2 linked regions of the Ovis aries genome follow. The protein of the gene in region 1 interacts with the protein of each later gene in a pairwise test. Links are inferred from orthologs where the notes say so. Each region holds a gene or a part of one and is shown on either strand. Other genes may lie near its edges.

The links.
Region 2: the proteins of SALL2 (region 1) and ZMIZ2 interact in binary tests that used the Homo sapiens proteins (3 or more experiments, as listed by UniProt). The two-hybrid records come from large-scale screens. The link is inferred for Ovis aries from reciprocal best matches to the Homo sapiens genes SALL2 and ZMIZ2.

Annotation. Positions count from the first base shown.
Region 1 is NC_056060.1:23,997,540-24,005,377, reverse strand, and holds part of SALL2 (sal-like protein 2), read right to left. Parts: intron 4,136-7,838; exon of another isoform or gene 4,014-4,135; coding exon of another isoform or gene 3,947-4,013; intron 3,563-3,946; coding exon 624-3,562; 3' UTR 1-623. UniProt on the Homo sapiens protein: Probable transcription factor that plays a role in eye development before, during, and after optic fissure closure.
Region 2 is NC_056057.1:78,418,442-78,426,831, reverse strand, and holds the start of ZMIZ2 (zinc finger MIZ domain-containing protein 2), read left to right. Parts: upstream 1-4,207; 5' UTR 4,208-4,294; intron 4,295-4,486; exon of another isoform or gene 4,487-4,637; intron 4,638-4,735; exon of another isoform or gene 4,736-5,583; intron 5,584-8,390. UniProt on the Homo sapiens protein: Increases ligand-dependent transcriptional activity of AR and other nuclear hormone receptors.

The sequences.
Region 1 (7,838 bases):
AGAGGCAACTTCCCGGCCTCAGTTCCTGGGCCAAACAGCACTGGTCGTGCAGGACCTGAAGTGGTAGTGGAGATGGAGATGGAACTGGAAGTTTGGGGCTTGGTGGGCAGGTCACTTGACAGGAAGGTTGTGTCCTGGTTCCAAAGAGACAGCGGGCCCACCCTCACCAGCTGGGAAGGAATGCCCTGGGACAAGAAGCCATGCAGGTTGACCTGGTCACCAGAGAGGAGTGGCCCTAGGCCCTCCAGGGACAGGTGCTGCCCCCTTCGGGGTGGCTGTAATTCCATATGTGGGTGCTCAGGTGCACCTGCCAAAGGGAAGGGAGAGGAGAGGGAAGAAGGGTCATTCTCAGAGAAGCTAGAAAGGGTTCTTCTCGGGAATGTAAAAGCTGTAGCAAGTCTATTTTCCTCAGGTACAATGGATGAAGAGGGAAGAAAAGTTTCTCAGGGGGCAATTGCCGTGAGCTCAGCCATTTTGAAGCTCAAGGATTAGAGAAAAGTCATTAGGGACATCTAAGAACTCAGAGAAACAGACAAATAAAGGCTCAGATCTGGGAGGTCCTTCTATAGAGCTCTCACTTCCTGCTCCTTGGGTCAAGGGGCAGCAGGTACAGAAAAACTGGCTCATGGAATGGTGGGGTCATCTTTTCGGGGAAAGGGAGAGAGCCCTGGGGAAGTGATAGAGGGTGAGCAGCCTGGGACCAAGGAAAGAGCAGCAATATTCTGAGGGCCATGGGGGGCAAAGGGCTGTACCTGGTGGTGGGCCAGCAGCATGTGCTTCTTGAGGGTAGCCCGCTCAAGAAAGCCCTGCCTGCAGAAAACACAAGTGAAGAGCAGCCCCTCCTTGGGGTGGGTTTTCTGATGCTCCTCCAGAGCTGCTTGGGTGGGAAAGGTCTGGCCACACACCTCACAGGCCTTTCGGCCACTGCTCTCCCCGGGCTCCTTTCTCATCACTTCCTGCAGGCTCAGCTCCTCCACCAAGGGGGTGCTGCTGCCTTCCCCTTCAAGGGCCAGCGCTGACCCTGGGCTGGAGCTCCTCTCCGGTTTTGCCCCCTCTTCCGTGCCTCCGGCAGCATCACTGCCTCCCTGCTCCTTTGGCTGTGTCTGATCCAGGGTGTCAGCTGGTGGCGGCGGCAGCAGACACGGCTGCTGAATGGTCTTCTCATTAGTGTCCATCTCCTTCCCAGCTGTGGTCACCGCTGCCACAGTCCCCACTTCCTCCTCAGTGCCAGAGGCCTCTTCTGAATCACCTCGCACGGATATGGCCTTCTCCCCTCCACTTTCAGAGCCTCTTCCGGCCAGGGAATCTTCATCAGTCACATCTTCTTCCTCTTCTTCATCCTCTTCCTCTTCTTCAGACAACTCCTCCTCTGGGGATGGCTGCTGGGATGGCTGCTGGGGGAAGCCCCCCGCTCCGGAGACTGTCGATTGCTCAGAGCCGTTCTCCTGGGCAGCTCCCCCCGCTTCCGGGAGTGCAGTGCCACCATTGGGGATCTGGCCCCCCAGGTGCATCCGAACATGCTGCTGCAGAGTAACAGCGTTGGTGAACTTCTTCTGGCAAATGGGGCAGGAGTTCTGGGCCCGGGCAGCTGGACTAGCCTTATGGCCCACGAAATGTGCACGCAGATTGCCTCGGGTAGAGAAAGCTCTGCCACACACTTTGCATTTGAAGGGCCGCTCACCTCCATGCTGACCGTAATGCAGGCGCAGTGCCCGAGGACAGCTCAGCACCCGGAGACAAATGACACACTGGTTGGGTCCAGATGAGGCTGATGATGAAGCTGCAGGGGCAGAGGTTGTGGGGGCACCCGAGGCAGTAGAGGCCACTGCCACAGCTCCTTGACGGTCAATCTTTTCTACCAGCTGCTGAAGCTTGGAGGTCTCGGAGGGTGAAGCCCCCAAGGGCTCCAGCACATAAGGGAAGGGGAAGCTACCAGTGGACTTCAAGTGGTTGGTAAGCAGGGCCCAGCTGGGTAGCGATGTCACCAGCTTACTTAGCTGCATGCGGGTTGCTGCACCACTTTCTGCCACCCCGGCGATGGCTGAGCCCTCACTCCCCGGCGGGGTGTTTTCATCCGCTTTATTCTTTGGCTCTACTGCTTTCATGAGCACAAACTTATTGAAAGCAGGAAGCGCAGGGGCCGTAGTGGTGCCTGCACCGGTGGAGAGCAGCGTGAGGCTCTCTGTGGCACTGAGGGCGGCGGTGGAGGCCACCAGAGGCTTGCGTTCCACACCTCCACCCGGCACAGCTGCCTCCTCCTCAGCCTTCTCTGGCGGCACCGACATACCATAGGGCAGGCCGCTGCTGGTGATAACATAGTCGAGATGCTCTGGAACCGGGTGAGGGTTCATCTGCACATGTGGGTACTTCTCCCGATGCCGGTGGAAATGCACTTTGAGGTTGCCTCGCGTGGTAAAGCGGTTGCCACACACATTACACTTATAGGGTCTCTCGCCTGTGTGGGAACGCAGGTGGATCTGCAGGGCACTGTCACTACCAAATACTTTGGCGCAGAAGCGGCACTTGTGCCTCCCACCGGGCTTCTCCAAGGGGCCCATCACTTCCCCATAACCCAACTCTCCACCTCCATTCTTTGGCTTCAGGAGCCCTGGGGAAGCAGCAGCCTCGAGGCCCCGGGCTGCCCCAAGACACTGCGCTGCCAGGAGTCCTGTAGTGCCTGGGAATGCCAGGTGAGGCGAGGCAATCAGCTGATCCGTGCTGCCCGACAGGGCCGGGGAGGCTGCAGGGGTGGGTTTGTGGCTTCGCCCGACCACACCAGCAGAAAAAGGGTGCTGTGACCCCAAGGGGTGGTAAAGGTGGAAGAAAGCCTGCTTGGGTGCTTCTGCCCCTGAGGAGGAGGTGGAGGAAGGTGCCAGTGTTTTGCCAGTTTGGACAGGCTTGATGGGACTGAAGAGAGGCAGCAGGGGCTTGGTGGAGGAGGCAGTCCCTGTCCCAGGTAGCTCCGAGGGACTGGAAGGGGTGCCCACTGTCTGGCCTAAGGAGCCTAGCAGCAGCACCTGCCGGCAGATTTGCTCAGTCATCTGCATCTGATGAATCTGGCGCTGCTGCAGCACCCGGAGTTCTTCCAAGATCAGAGGGATGTTCAAGTGGCCACTGCCTACCCCTGAGGGGGGAGGAGGAGGCGGAGGAGGAGGGGGTGCAGGGGTGGACTCCGGCGGTAATGGAGTCGCTCCCAGCTTGGGGCTGGCCAAGATCAGGCCCCCACCTCCCCCAGCTGCTGTACCTGTGGCAGCAATGAGGAAGTGCCCGGAAGACTCCTCTCCCCTCCGCTCGGGGCCCCAGGTGGGATCTGTGGGTACAGAGGACGCGCAGTCCGAGGGGTTGCTTTGCTCGGCCTCCATGGCCTGCGGACTACTGTGGCCCTCAGGCCGAGGCTCGCAAGAGGTCGAAGAGTTGTTGGGGTTCTCCTGGCCCCCAATTATCACCATTACAGGGGGATCAGTAGAACATGCATTCTGGTGGGCGAGGAATTCAGCTGGGTCAGTGAATTGTGCGCAGCACTTGGCACAGACTTGGGGGTGGTCGTCCTCGCTCACATCACCTGGGGAAGAACACAAGGAGAGAGCGTGGGTGGTGCGGTTGGGATGGATATACACAGGCTGTAATTAACAAGGAGCCCAGTAACCGCTAGTGGGGGTGGGGAGATGAGCTCACCATCAGGCCGTGCAGAAGGCTAGAGCTCAGGGCTGACCCGCCTGGACACGACACGCCAGCACTGGGGGCCAGGAAGGAGAGGAGCGGGCATGCACAAGCTACTGTCCCCCTTCTATCCCCTCGCACCCCGGGTCACCGGCGGGCGGAAGGACAAGCTGGGAGGACCGGGTCCTGGGCAGAGAATCGTCCGTTTTATCTCGTCCACCGAAAGTCCTTTCCCCCTCGCCCAGCGCACCCCCTCCACCCCTACCCCTGCAGGGCCCTACCGCACCTCCAAGCTCCGCCGGCTCCCCGCAGGGCCCCCCGAGACGAGCGCTCCTCCCGGCTTCGTGCGCCATGGTTGTGCGGGAGGTGCAGGGCCGGGTGGAGTGGGAGACAATGGGTATCCGGATTGGGGGAGGCGGCACTGGCCGCCCGGGCTGCAGCAGCCTCTGCACCCAGCGGCCCGGACTGCAGAGATGGAGATCGCGGCGGGGGCAGGGCGCAGCGGAGGAGGGGGAGGGGAGCGAGGAGACGCGGAGGAGGGGAGGAGCTGGAGCCAGAAAGCTGGGAGAGGGGAGATGGGGGAGGAGCTGCTGGGAAGGGGAGTCTGTGGGGAGGAGTTGCTGGGGAGGGAGGCGGGAGCTGGGGAAGAAGAGAGGGGGCGGGGGACGGGTGTACGGGGGCGGGAGCCCAGAGCACAGGAGGGTTTCCGGTAGGCTCAGTGACAGGTGCTGTGGGGCCTGGTGGGGGTCCACCTATCCTTGCCCTCTGCTAGCTCCCCCATCTCCAGATGTCTTTGCCCAGACCGGCCCGCCCACCTCCCCAGCAAGCTCAAGGGGGCGCAGTAGGAAACACAGCCTTGCTCAATAGAGCAGAGCGATAGGCTTCTCTTATTTTCCTTCGGATAAAGGATCCGCTGAGCCTGGAAAACGTGGACTCCAGAGAGGGTGGTCTGAGGGCCAGAGCGAGAGGGGGGGGGGTCCCAGAAAATCCACCCCTTATCTACACACATTCACACCGCCCCTGCAAATGCCCCAAGTTTTGTCCTGTTTTCTTCACCTCCATTCCCACCCTACCCCCACACCCCCTCTACAAAAGAAGCTTCTCAGGGTGGGAGGCTGAGAGGTAGAATTTCCAAGGAAGTCGATTCAGGACTCTTCTCTGCGGAACACTAAGCCCCTTTACTCCCCGCCCCTCCTCCCCCAGAATAATAGCTGAATGCAAGTTATTCCACGGATCACCCAGCCCACACCTCATTTACAGAGTTCATGCTTATTAAAGGAGTCATCTCCTATTTAGTTTCCTCTTCTCTACCCTTCTTCCTCCGTTGTCCTTCTCTAGCAACGCAGACACTATTACGGATGTGCTGTTTGGGGGTGATGCTAGTTTGCAGAGGCCCACCTAGCTTTAACCTGGGGGGAAGGGAACTCCTCCCGAAACAATGGGGAAAATGCAGTAGGAGGGAGCTACCAGGCAGCCTCTCGGGGCCTAAAGTCCCTCTTAGCCCCAGGCTGGGTTGAATGCCTAGAAATAACACCTGCTCACTGCACAGAGGTGGCCTCCTATTAGGAGAGAGGATTAAGGGCGTAAAATGCCTCCTGGACCAGGTACTCTGCATTCCCTTCCTATCTTGAAATGAGCCTTAATGGCTTTCCAACTTCCTTAAAAGAGCTTATCTTTCTTACAGGAGGTGATAAGTCCTTAGTTCAGTGTTTTGCCTGGGCATCAGTAAATCCACCTTGTTCTAATCCCAGTTCCGTTCTTGCCTGGCTGGTAAATTGAGGCGTGGTGGGCAGTCACACCATGACTGCACTGCCATTTCCTTTTTTGTAAAGTGGTAATATTGTAGCTATGTTGGCTTCATCAGAGAAATATAGTGGGGATAAAATAATCTATATATATAGGACTTCAAATTTTGGGAGGAGTCCTAAATATTATGAATTAAAGAACTTATATTTAAGTGGCAAAAAAAAAACCAAAATAAGCTAAAATACATATATATTCAAATTAGGTCTGTTTTCATGTTGCCTATTAATTTATTTTAATTTATTTATTTTTGGCCAAGCTGTACGGCTTACTCAGGATCTTAGTTCCCTGAACCCAGGTCCTTGGTAGCATAAGCGTGGCATCCTAACCACTGGACTGCCAGGGAATTAGCAATCTTATTCATTTCTGAGGCTAATATCATTGGCATATGTTAAGAGTAGGAAGTCTTTTGGGGTGGGAGCTGTAATAGCCATTTCCTTCTCCAAATATTAATGTTAGTATAATGTAATATTAATATTAGGCTTTCCAGGTGGCGCTAGTGGTAAAGAATCCATCTGCCAATGCAGGAGAGGCAAGAGACATGGGTTTGATTCTTGGGTTGGAACGATTCCCTGGAGTAGGAAAAGGCAATCCACTCCATTATTCTTGCCTGGAAAATTCCATGGACAGAGGAGCCTGGCAGGCTACAGTCCATGGGGTTGCAAAGAGTCAGACATGACTGAACACACACACTGAGTTGTATATAATATAGACATAGTTGAATGTTAATATTAGTATAATATTAATAATGTCCACTTTCATTGAAAACATTGTACTGAATTGTTTTGAAACTTCAGATAAACACAAGGGTCTTGATACTGTAGACAATGGCTCTGAAACAGAGGAGCTCCAGGCTTCCAGACCTGACCAGGGAGGGAGAGAGGATTCTGTGTCAATTATGGTAAGTCACAGGTTAACTGCAATGTTGTTTATTTTTATAGATAAGGAAGTTGAAGCTTGGAGAGGTTAAGTGACTTTTCCAAGTTCACACAGTAATTCAGTGCAGCAAACATTCAGAGTTTTGACTCCTGTCCAATACTTTCCCAAGCACATCAACATTGTGTAGCTTCCCTAAGCTAGAGAAAGGGCCTTGTGTGGTTCCTACCTGCCATTTGCTCTGCAGCCTCAGTGAGAGAGAAGGAATCAGATGGACTCTTTCTACTGAGCATTTGTTAATTAGCATTGAATGTTTGATATCAAGTTGCTGTTTTGTCAAGTCTTCCAACAAGAAAAGAAATCCTTTTCTTTTCATCTTCTCCTGGGAAACACTGTCCCCTTTCTAGCTCTTTAATGAAACTTGCTTTCTGATGTGTAATTTGATCTGCACTCTTCTTAAAGGTAAATTCAGTCCCTGTTGAAAGGTGATGGATCAACAGCCACCTGTAAGAGGAGCCCTCTTTTTCTTAGCACTTTGCACTCACTGCCTATCCTGAAAAGGGGGGTGGGATTCTTAGGCAGACACGAATGAAATCATAAACACAGGACTAAACAAACCTGGTAATGGTGTCCCTAGATAGCAGATAAGGTGAAGTAAGCTACCCTGGGTCACATGCAAAGTCTGGGATGGACACAGGACTGAGACCTGGATATGCTGGTTTAAATTTATAAAGAGCTGAAATACAAGGAAAAATGAAATCAGGTGACTCTCTAAATCTGGTGGCTCATCAAACTTAGGAAAGGATGGCTCGGAAAACAGAAAAATCGGTGTGTAGCAGGTAGACTTGAACACAGGTTCTCAAACTTTGCTGCCCATTAGAATTACTGGAAGAGCTTTTAAAAATTGCAGTGGCCAGGCTGTGTGTGCGTGCATGCTAAGTCTGATGCTTTGTGAAGATATGAACTGTAGCCTGCCAGGCTCCTCTGTCTGTGTGATTCTCCAAGCAACAATACAGGGTAGCCATTTCCTCCTCCAAGGAATTTTCCGGACCCAGGGATTGAATCTGCATCTCTTAGGTCTCCTACGTTGGCTGGTGGGATCTTTACCACTAGAGCCACCTGGGAAGCCTGGCCAGGGTGGGTCTAGGCATCAATGTTTGTAATGTTCCTCAAGTGATTCCAATGTACAGCCAAGGAGGAGAACCATAGTGTGTATCAGAGGAGTGCCTTTCCCAGCAAACCTTCCACCCTGCTTCTCACAAATCTTCAAAGTGGAAAAGTAGAAAGTGCTGTAATGTCTGACTCTTTTGTGACCCCATAGACTGTAGCCTGCCAGGCTCCTCTATTCATGAGATTTCACAGGCAAGAATACTGGAGTGGGTTGCCATTTCCTTCTTTAGGGGATCTTCCCGACCCAGGGATCAGATCCGTTTCTCCTGCATTGCTGGAGAATTCTTTACTGCTGAGCCACCAGGGAAGGTCACAAATCTTACCTGTGT
Region 2 (8,390 bases), on another chromosome or scaffold:
GTCGGTGATGCCATCCAACCATCTCATCCTCTGTCGTCCCCTTTTCCTCCTTCCCTCAATCTTTCCCAGCGTCAGGGTCTTTTCAAATGAGTCAGCTCTTCACATCAGGTAGCCAAAGTATTGTAGTTTCAGCTTCAGCATCAGTCCTTCCAATGAACACCCAGGGTTGATTTCCTTTAGGATGGACTGGTTGGATCTCCTTGCAGTCCAAGGGACTCTCAAGAGTCTTCTCCAATACCACAGTTCAAAAGCATCAATTCTTCTTCGCTCAGCTTTCTTTATAGTCCAACTCTCACATCCATACATGACTACTGGAAAACCATAGCCTTGACTAGACGGCAGCTGTGTGGCACAGGAGCAGCCGAGAGGAGCTACCCCACATCCAAGGTCAGGAGCAGCACTTGTGCTTTGCTGGAGCAGCCATGAAGAGATACCCCATGTCCAAGGTAAGAGGAACCCAAGTAAGACGGTAGGTGCTGAGGTGGGGGGGCATCAGAGGGCAGACAGACTGAAACCACAATCACAGACAACTAGCCAATCTGATCACATGGACCACAGCCTTGTTTAACTCAATGAAACTAAGCTATGCCATGTGAGGCCACCAGACGGATGGGTCATGGTGGAGAGGTCTGACAGAATGTGATCCACTGGAGAAGGGAATGGCAAACCACTATAGTATTCTTTCCTTGAGAACCCCACGAAAGTATGAAAAGGCAAAAAGATATGACACTGAAAGATGAACTCCCCAGGTCGGTAGGTGCCCAATATGCTACAGGAGATCAGTGGAGAAATAACTCCAGAAAGAATGAAGGGATGGAGCCAAAGTAAACACAATACCCAGTTGTGGATGTGACTGGTGATAGAAGCAAGGTCCGATGCTGTAAAGAGCAGTATTGCATAGGAATCTGGAATGTTAGGTCCATGAATCAAGGCAAATTGGAAGTGGTCAAACAGGAGATGGCAAGAGTGAACGTCAACATCCTAGGAATCAGTGAACTAAAATGAACTGGAATGGGTGAATCTAACTCAGATGACCATTGTATCTACTACTGTGGGCAGGAATCCCTTAGAAGAAATGGAGTAGCCATCATGGTCAACAAGAGAGTCCAAAATGCAGTACTTGTATGCAGTCTCAAAAACAACAGAATGATCTCTGTTCATCTCCAAGGCAAACCATTCAATATCATAGTAATCCAAGTATATGCCCCAACCAGTAATGTTGAAGAAGCTGAAGTTGAACGGTTCTATGAAGAACCTACAAGACCTTTTAGAACTAACACCCAAAAGAGATGTCCTTTGCATTATAGGGGACTGGAATGCAAAAGTAGGAAGACAAGAAACACCTGGAGTAACAGGCAAATTTGGCCTTGGAGTACAGAATGAAGCAGGGCAAAGGCTAATAGAGTTTTGCCAAGAGAAAGCACTGGTCATAGCAAATGCCCTCTTTCAACAACACAAGATAAGACTCTACACATGGACATCACCAGATGGCCAACGTCGAAATCAGATTGATTATATTCTTTGCAGCCAAAGATGGAGAAGCTGTATACAGTCAGCAAAAACAAGATGGGGTGCTGACTGTGGCTCAGATCATGAACTCCTAATTGCCAAATTCAGACTTAAATTGAAGAAAGTGGGAAAAACCACTAGACCATTCAGGTATGACCTAAATCATGACAGTTCCAAGGCACTGTCAAAAGACCAAGGAGTGGGTGGTGACCCAGTTCCTGGAAATTCCCACCTCTTTCCCAAAATAGTTGGAATAATCCTCCCACTCATTAGCATAAGAAATTACCCAGCGCATAAAAACTAACTATGCCACATTTTGCAGCAGCACTTGCCCTCTGCAATGGCCCACAAACTCTGTGTGTCTAGTGTGCTTCTCTCTGAATCTGAATAAATCCACTTCTTATCTATCACTTTGTCTCTCACTGGATTCTTTCTGCAATGAGACATCAAGAACCTGAGCTTCATTAGGTCCTGAAATCAGGTTCCATGGGTTTTGGCTGGGTTCTATTCCATGCAGGGTTTTGGCTGGGTTCAAATACTGGCCTCGTGGGTTTGAGTCCCAGCACATAGGTTCAAGTCCTACTCTTGAACCTATGGTTTCAAGAGAACTAGATCCCACCTGCTACAACTAAGAGTTCCTATGCTGCAAGTAAAGATCCTGCACTTCACAACAAAGATGGAAGACTCCTTGTGCCTCAACTGAGACCCAGCAGAGTAAAATAAATATTTTTTTAAAAGAAAAGAACTGGGCATGTTTATCTTTCAACAGAAGATTCCAAGGCAAAATTCTCATTTTATACAGTTGTAGAAGGAAGACTTTAGGGAGGCAGATGTTTTCCAGTAAATAAGGGAGAATCTTCTAACAATCTGTATAGTCAAACATGAAAACTATCCAGAAGGGAACTGACACCAAACAGCGTCTCCTAGGGCTGTTACACTGGGGAGGTAACAGATCTGCCTTCAGAGTTCTAATTCAGGACCCTACTGTGGCCATTTCTGGCCTCTTCCCAGAACTTGCCGGCAACTCCCCCAAACTCACAGCCTCCTGGAGGCAGAAGCAGGTCATGTTCCATGGTGTGTGCCTCCCTCATCATGTGGGTCTCTTCTGGGGCCAGCTCTCCAGAGAATCTGCCTCTGCTCTTTAACCTATTTCCCAGCATTCCCCCATCTTCCATTTTTCTTTTATTTTTCTTCCTAACCCTCACATTGATGGACAGATTGTTACCTGGTGAGTCATTTCTTTTTGTTCCTTCTAGTGGGAGCAGGGAGGAGAGGAGTTACTATCATGGTCACTGGGGTGTTCAGAGCCCAGTGCCTGGTATAGCAGGCCATCATATTTGTTCAATGAAGTAATGGTTCTCCAAAGATACAGAGTTCAGGTAGCCTTGAGGGAAGAAATTTCAGCATTATTACAAGTTAATTATGAGGCATCCATCAATGGAGGAATGGATAGACAAAATGTGGTATACACACAAAAAATGAAATACTGTTCAGCCTTTAAAAGGAGAGAAATTATGCAAGTTGCAATGTGAATGAACCTTCGAGACATTCAGTTCAGTTCAGCTGAGTCACTCAGTCATGTTCAACTCTTTGCGACCCCATGAATTGCAGCACTCCAGGCCTCCCTGTCCGTCACCAACTTCTGGAGCTTGCTCAAACTCATGTCCATCAAGTCAGTGATGCCATCCAACCATCTCATCCTCTGTCCTCCCCTTCTCCTCCTGCCTTCAATCTTTCCCAGCATCAGGGTCTTTTCCATGAGTCAGTTCTTTGTACCAGGTGGCCAGAGTATTGGAGCTTCCAATCAGTGTCAGTCCTTCCAATGAATATTCTGGACTGATATCCTTTAGGATTGACTGGTTTGATCACCGTGTTGTCCAAGGGATAGGCTACCCACTCCAATATTCTTGGGCTTCCCTTTTGGCTCAGCAGTTAAAGAATCCACCTGCAGTATGGGAGACCTGTGTTCGATCCCTGGGTTGGGAAGATCCCCTGGAGAAGGGAAAGGCTACCCACTACAGTATTCTGGCTTAGAGAGTATAGGGTCACAGCTGGACATGACTGAGGGACTTTCATGACATCAGTCACAAATGGACAAATACTGTATGATTCCACTTCTATCAGATCCCTAGAGGAGTCAGATTCAGAGACAGAAAGTAGAATGGTGGGTGGGAGGAGGATGGGGAACTATTGTTTGATGAGTACAAAGTGTCACTTTTAGGAGATGAAAAAGCTATGGGTGGTGATGGATATGTGATAGTGGGGAATGTGCTTAACACCACTGTACACTTAAAACTGGTTAGGATGGTAAACTTTGTTACTGTATTTTACTACAATAAAAAAAAAAATGTGGGTAATCAGGAGAATGTGGTCTTCCTAAAGGAAGGGTAGATAATAGCCGAGAATAACTTAAAGACTGAAAATAGCATATGATGATGCCAACCGACCAGAGAGGTTGCTTCATCTGGCTAGAACTCGAGTGACTAACAATGTTTCAACAGGACGCACTCTAGGAAGATGAGAGAACAGTGAAGAGAATGAGTTGTGTGATTCCGCGTGGTTTTTCCTACAAGACATCTCCCAGAAGTGGCCCATTGACACGGGGTCACCTCCGCAGACCCAGCCTCCGCCAAGACTCCGCCCTCTTCCAGGCCCCGCCTCCCACCCGCCAGGTTCCACCCCTCCTCCTGGATCTGCCCTCTTTCAGGCCCCGCCTCCTCTGCTCCGCCCCGGCAGAGAGCAGAGAGCAAGGGCTGGTGACTCCGCAGACGCTGCGCCTGGAAAGGTGTGGAAGGGGCGGGGAGCCCAGATCATCCCCAACCCGTCCTCCCTCCCCGCCCCGCTCCTGGCCGGCCAGCCGCCCTAGCTTGCGCAGGCCCGCGGCCACCTGGGCCTGAACGCTGGCTCGGGGCTCCACTGCTTTGGCCTGGGGGCGGGGCCGGCGCGCGGCGTCATGCATATGCATGAGCGACTCGGCGGCTCCATTGTGCCCTCGGAGCGGGCGGCGGCGCGATGGCGCGGGCGGCGGCAGCCCCGGGGCGGCGGGCGGCGCTGAGGGCGGGCTGAGCGCATGGAGCAGCGCGGACCGGGGGCCGCGGCGGCGAGGGGCCGGGCCGGGCGGCGAGGAGGTGAGCGGACCGGGCGGGCAGGTGCGGGCGGCGGGGGCGGCAGGTGCGGCAGGTGCGGGAGGCGGCAGGTGCGGCGTCCCCGGGCCCGGCGCTGCATCGCCTCGGCGGGGCCCCGGCGGGGCTGGAGCCGCCCCTGCCGCCCACCTGCCGCACCTGCGGCGCGTGCGTCGTGGTCCTGGGCCGACTGGCCCGCTGCGCGCCGAGGCCACCCCTCACCTGAGCCTTTGTTGGGGCTGGCCAGAATCCGTCCAAGCGCCCGAGGTGTCTGGGCAGGAGCCTCACGCGGGCCCTCACCCAAACTGGCCCCGCTCCCTCCTTTCTGCGCTGTGGCCTGAAGGCTCACCTTTCGGGCCCCTCCGGGCCGTGCGTGCCGTTGGCACGCGATGTGAGACCCGCGAAGGTGTGCTCTGGGGCTGGCGACCCTAACCTTTCAGCCCCCCAGCCGAGATTTTGGTGGAAATACCGTTTTCCCAACAGGAGATACTGAAGCTCAGGCGGGAGCGTGTCCAGCCCTCCTTCCCAGGAGTGTCCTACCCTAGCCTCCCCCATCTGCTCGCCGCTGCCCTGTTCCCCCCAATCCTGCTCCCCCTACCCTGCTCCTCCGAACCTTTCTTGCCTCCCCTAGACCTGCTCCCCTACATCATGTTCCCCATACTCTCTTCCCGATAGTTGCAGAATATCCATGGTGATGTATTTAAGTCATTTGTATTATCTCAGAAGATTTCACAGGGAAATACACAGAACATGTGACTCAATCTGTAAGACAGTTGATAGGGCGATCACAGACTCACCCACCAAATCCTGTCACACTAGAACCAGAGGGCTTCCCTTGAAGAAGCTAGATAGAGGTAACAGGATAGGAGAAGGATTCTTAACCTCACCCAGTGAGTACTGGCCTTGGGGACTTGTCACACCTGGAGGGTGGTTCCTGGTTGGAAAGAGAAAGGTGAGATAATGAATAACAGATTCAGAAGGACTGGTAGGCTGTGCCTGGGGAGGACTCCCAATCATAGGACTGATCTCCAGAGGCAGCCAGGCCTCCCCATGAAGTGTCCACTAGCCCTTGGATCCAGGATGGGAGCTGGGGCTGATGATTTAAGGTGGTCATGTGCCCTCCCCTCTCTTAGTCCTAGAGTGGCCACCACGTACCCATTTTCCACACTGTAAACTGAGGCTCAGGGCAGGGCAGCCCTTCAGCTGTTCTCTGGAATTTCCTACACCTGTGCCATTGAGCAATGCTCCTTCCTGGGCACCTTTGATGAACTCTGAATACTTCAGCCAGTCAGTGTGTGGCCTTCCAAGTCAAGGGGCAGGACTTCAGCCACTTGAGCATGTGAGCCCCCACTTTTATGTCCTCCTGGGACGCTTGAGCTGTTCGTTTTCCTCGTCTGAGCCTGTTTGACTCCAGTGTTCCTCTAGTTGGGGCCAGTCATCGGGAACTGTGGATTCCCTGTGCTAGAGGAGGCAGCGAGCCCCTGCTCTATGACTATGTTGGCACTGTCCTCCTGGGGTCTGGTGGGTGGTTGTGAGGTGTGCTGCTGCTGGGTGCCTAGGCAAGGAGCGTGGAGTGGGGGCAGAAGAGGTTGACCCATGGTGACGTCTGCCTTTGGAGACAGCAGTGCAGATGCTCTGAGGTCCTGGGAAAGGGGGATGTGAGGAGTGAGTTGTCTGTAGCTCTTTTACTGGAGGAAAATGTGATCTGACCCCCAGAAAGCCATGTGGCCTTCTAGACTGACATCACGCCAGGGCTTTCTGCCAAGGTCCTGGCTTCCAGTGAGAGTTGATGTACAGGGAAAGCCCCCCACCAGCAGGAAGCCGCCAGAGGCTAGCCCTGGCCCTGCACACACCCAGGCTCCTTCTTAACTCTTCTTCTCACGGCCAGGAGGTGGGAGGAGGGTCTGCACTCACACCACATCTCTCTCCCTTTGTCAGGAGCAGAGGGTCCCCCAGTCCCCAACCTGAAGAGTTTGGGGCTTGTCAGGGAAGAGAGCCGCCTTGGTTCAGGAGCTTGGCAGGAAGTCACTGCCCCCGCTCAGTAAGCTCGGGGGCGGGGGGAACTGGAAATGTCTGTGGTCTTGTCCACAGCAGAGAAGTCATAGGGGTGGAATTCCCCAGACTCACGTGATGTAGGAAGCTGTGCTGGGCCCCAGACCAGCAGCCTCCACATGGGCCCCCGCCCTGCACCTGCCCTGTCCCCCCTCCTCTCCAGCTCTCCGGGGCTTTCAAACTGTGGTACCAGCAGCAGCACCTGCAAACTTACTGGAAATGCAAGTCTTGGGCCTCACTCCACCCTCTGAACTCAAAGTGGGGCTGAGTTCTGGTGAGCCGCCGTTGGAGAAGCTGCGCTTGTGAACTAATACAGCCTCCCCTGGGGCTCTGACCCAGGCCAGGGGGGGTCTGTCTTCTTCCTGCTCTTCCCTTTGGGACAGCAAAGTGGGCCTGGCCAATCCAGCCAGCTTTAGTGTGGGAAATGATGGCCCTGGGCATCTCTGTGGGGAGAGAGAGCTGGTGGTGGTTGTACATTAAATAAATTTGTAGTTTGAGAGAATTATAGATTCTTAAGATGTTACAAGAAATGACACAGAGAGCTCTGTAACTTTTCCCTAGTGGTAACATCTTATAAAAGTGTAGCACAACATCACAGGAGAGTACAACTCCATCAATACAGTTGATACAGATATTCCATGCCCACCTTCTATATTCCCACTGGCTTCACTTCCCTGCTCTCCACCTTTAACCCCTGGCCGCCACCCGTGTGCTCTCCATTTGTGTAATTCTGTCATTTCAAGGATGTTATGTAAAGGGAACCATACAATGTGTAACCTTTGGGGACTGGCTTTTTCCATGTAGCATGGTTCTCTGGAGATTCCTGCAGGTTGGTGCCTGTGTCAGTAGCCCTGCCTTTTTATGCCTCCAGGCTCACAGTTGGTTAGCTCTTCACCACTGAAGGATATCTGCATTTCCATTCTTTGGCTATTAGGAATAAAACTGCTATAAATATTCACATACAGATTTTTGTGTGAACCTAGGTTTACACTTCTGAGATAAATGTTCAGGAATACAGTTGCTAGGTTGTATAGTGTGCTGTGTGCTTAGTCGCTCAGTCGTGTCTGATTCTTTGGACCCCATTGACTGTAGCTCACCAGGCTTCTCTGTCCATGGGGATTCTCCAGGCAAGAATACTGGTTGCCATGCCTTCCTCCAGAGGATCTTCCCAACCCAGGGATCAAACCCAAGTCTCCTTCATTGCGGGAGGATTCTTTACTATCTGAGCTACCAGGGAAGCCCTGGTTGTCTAGTGGCTGCATGCTTAGTTTTATAGGAAACTAGCAGATCATTTTTCAGAGTGGCTGTACCATTTTATATTCCCACCAACCATGCATGAGAGACCCAGTTTCTCCTAGCCAGCATTTGATGGTGTCAATTTTTTTGTTGTTGGCTGTGACAGGTCTTAGTTGTGGCCTGTGGGATCTTTGCAGCATGTGGAATCTAGTTCCCTGACCAGGGATCCAACCCAGGCCCCCTGCATTGGGAATGCAGAGTCTTAGCCACTGAACCACCAGAGAAATCACACTATTTATTTTAGCCATTGTGGTGGGTGTGTAGTGATACCTCGGTGTGGTTTTAATTTGCATTTCTCTGATGGCCAGTGATGGTGAACATCTTTTCGGATGTTTGTTTGCCATCTGTACATCCTCTTTGGTGAAATGTCTCCATATCTTTTGCCTGTCTTCCAATTTTAACTTTTGCGTT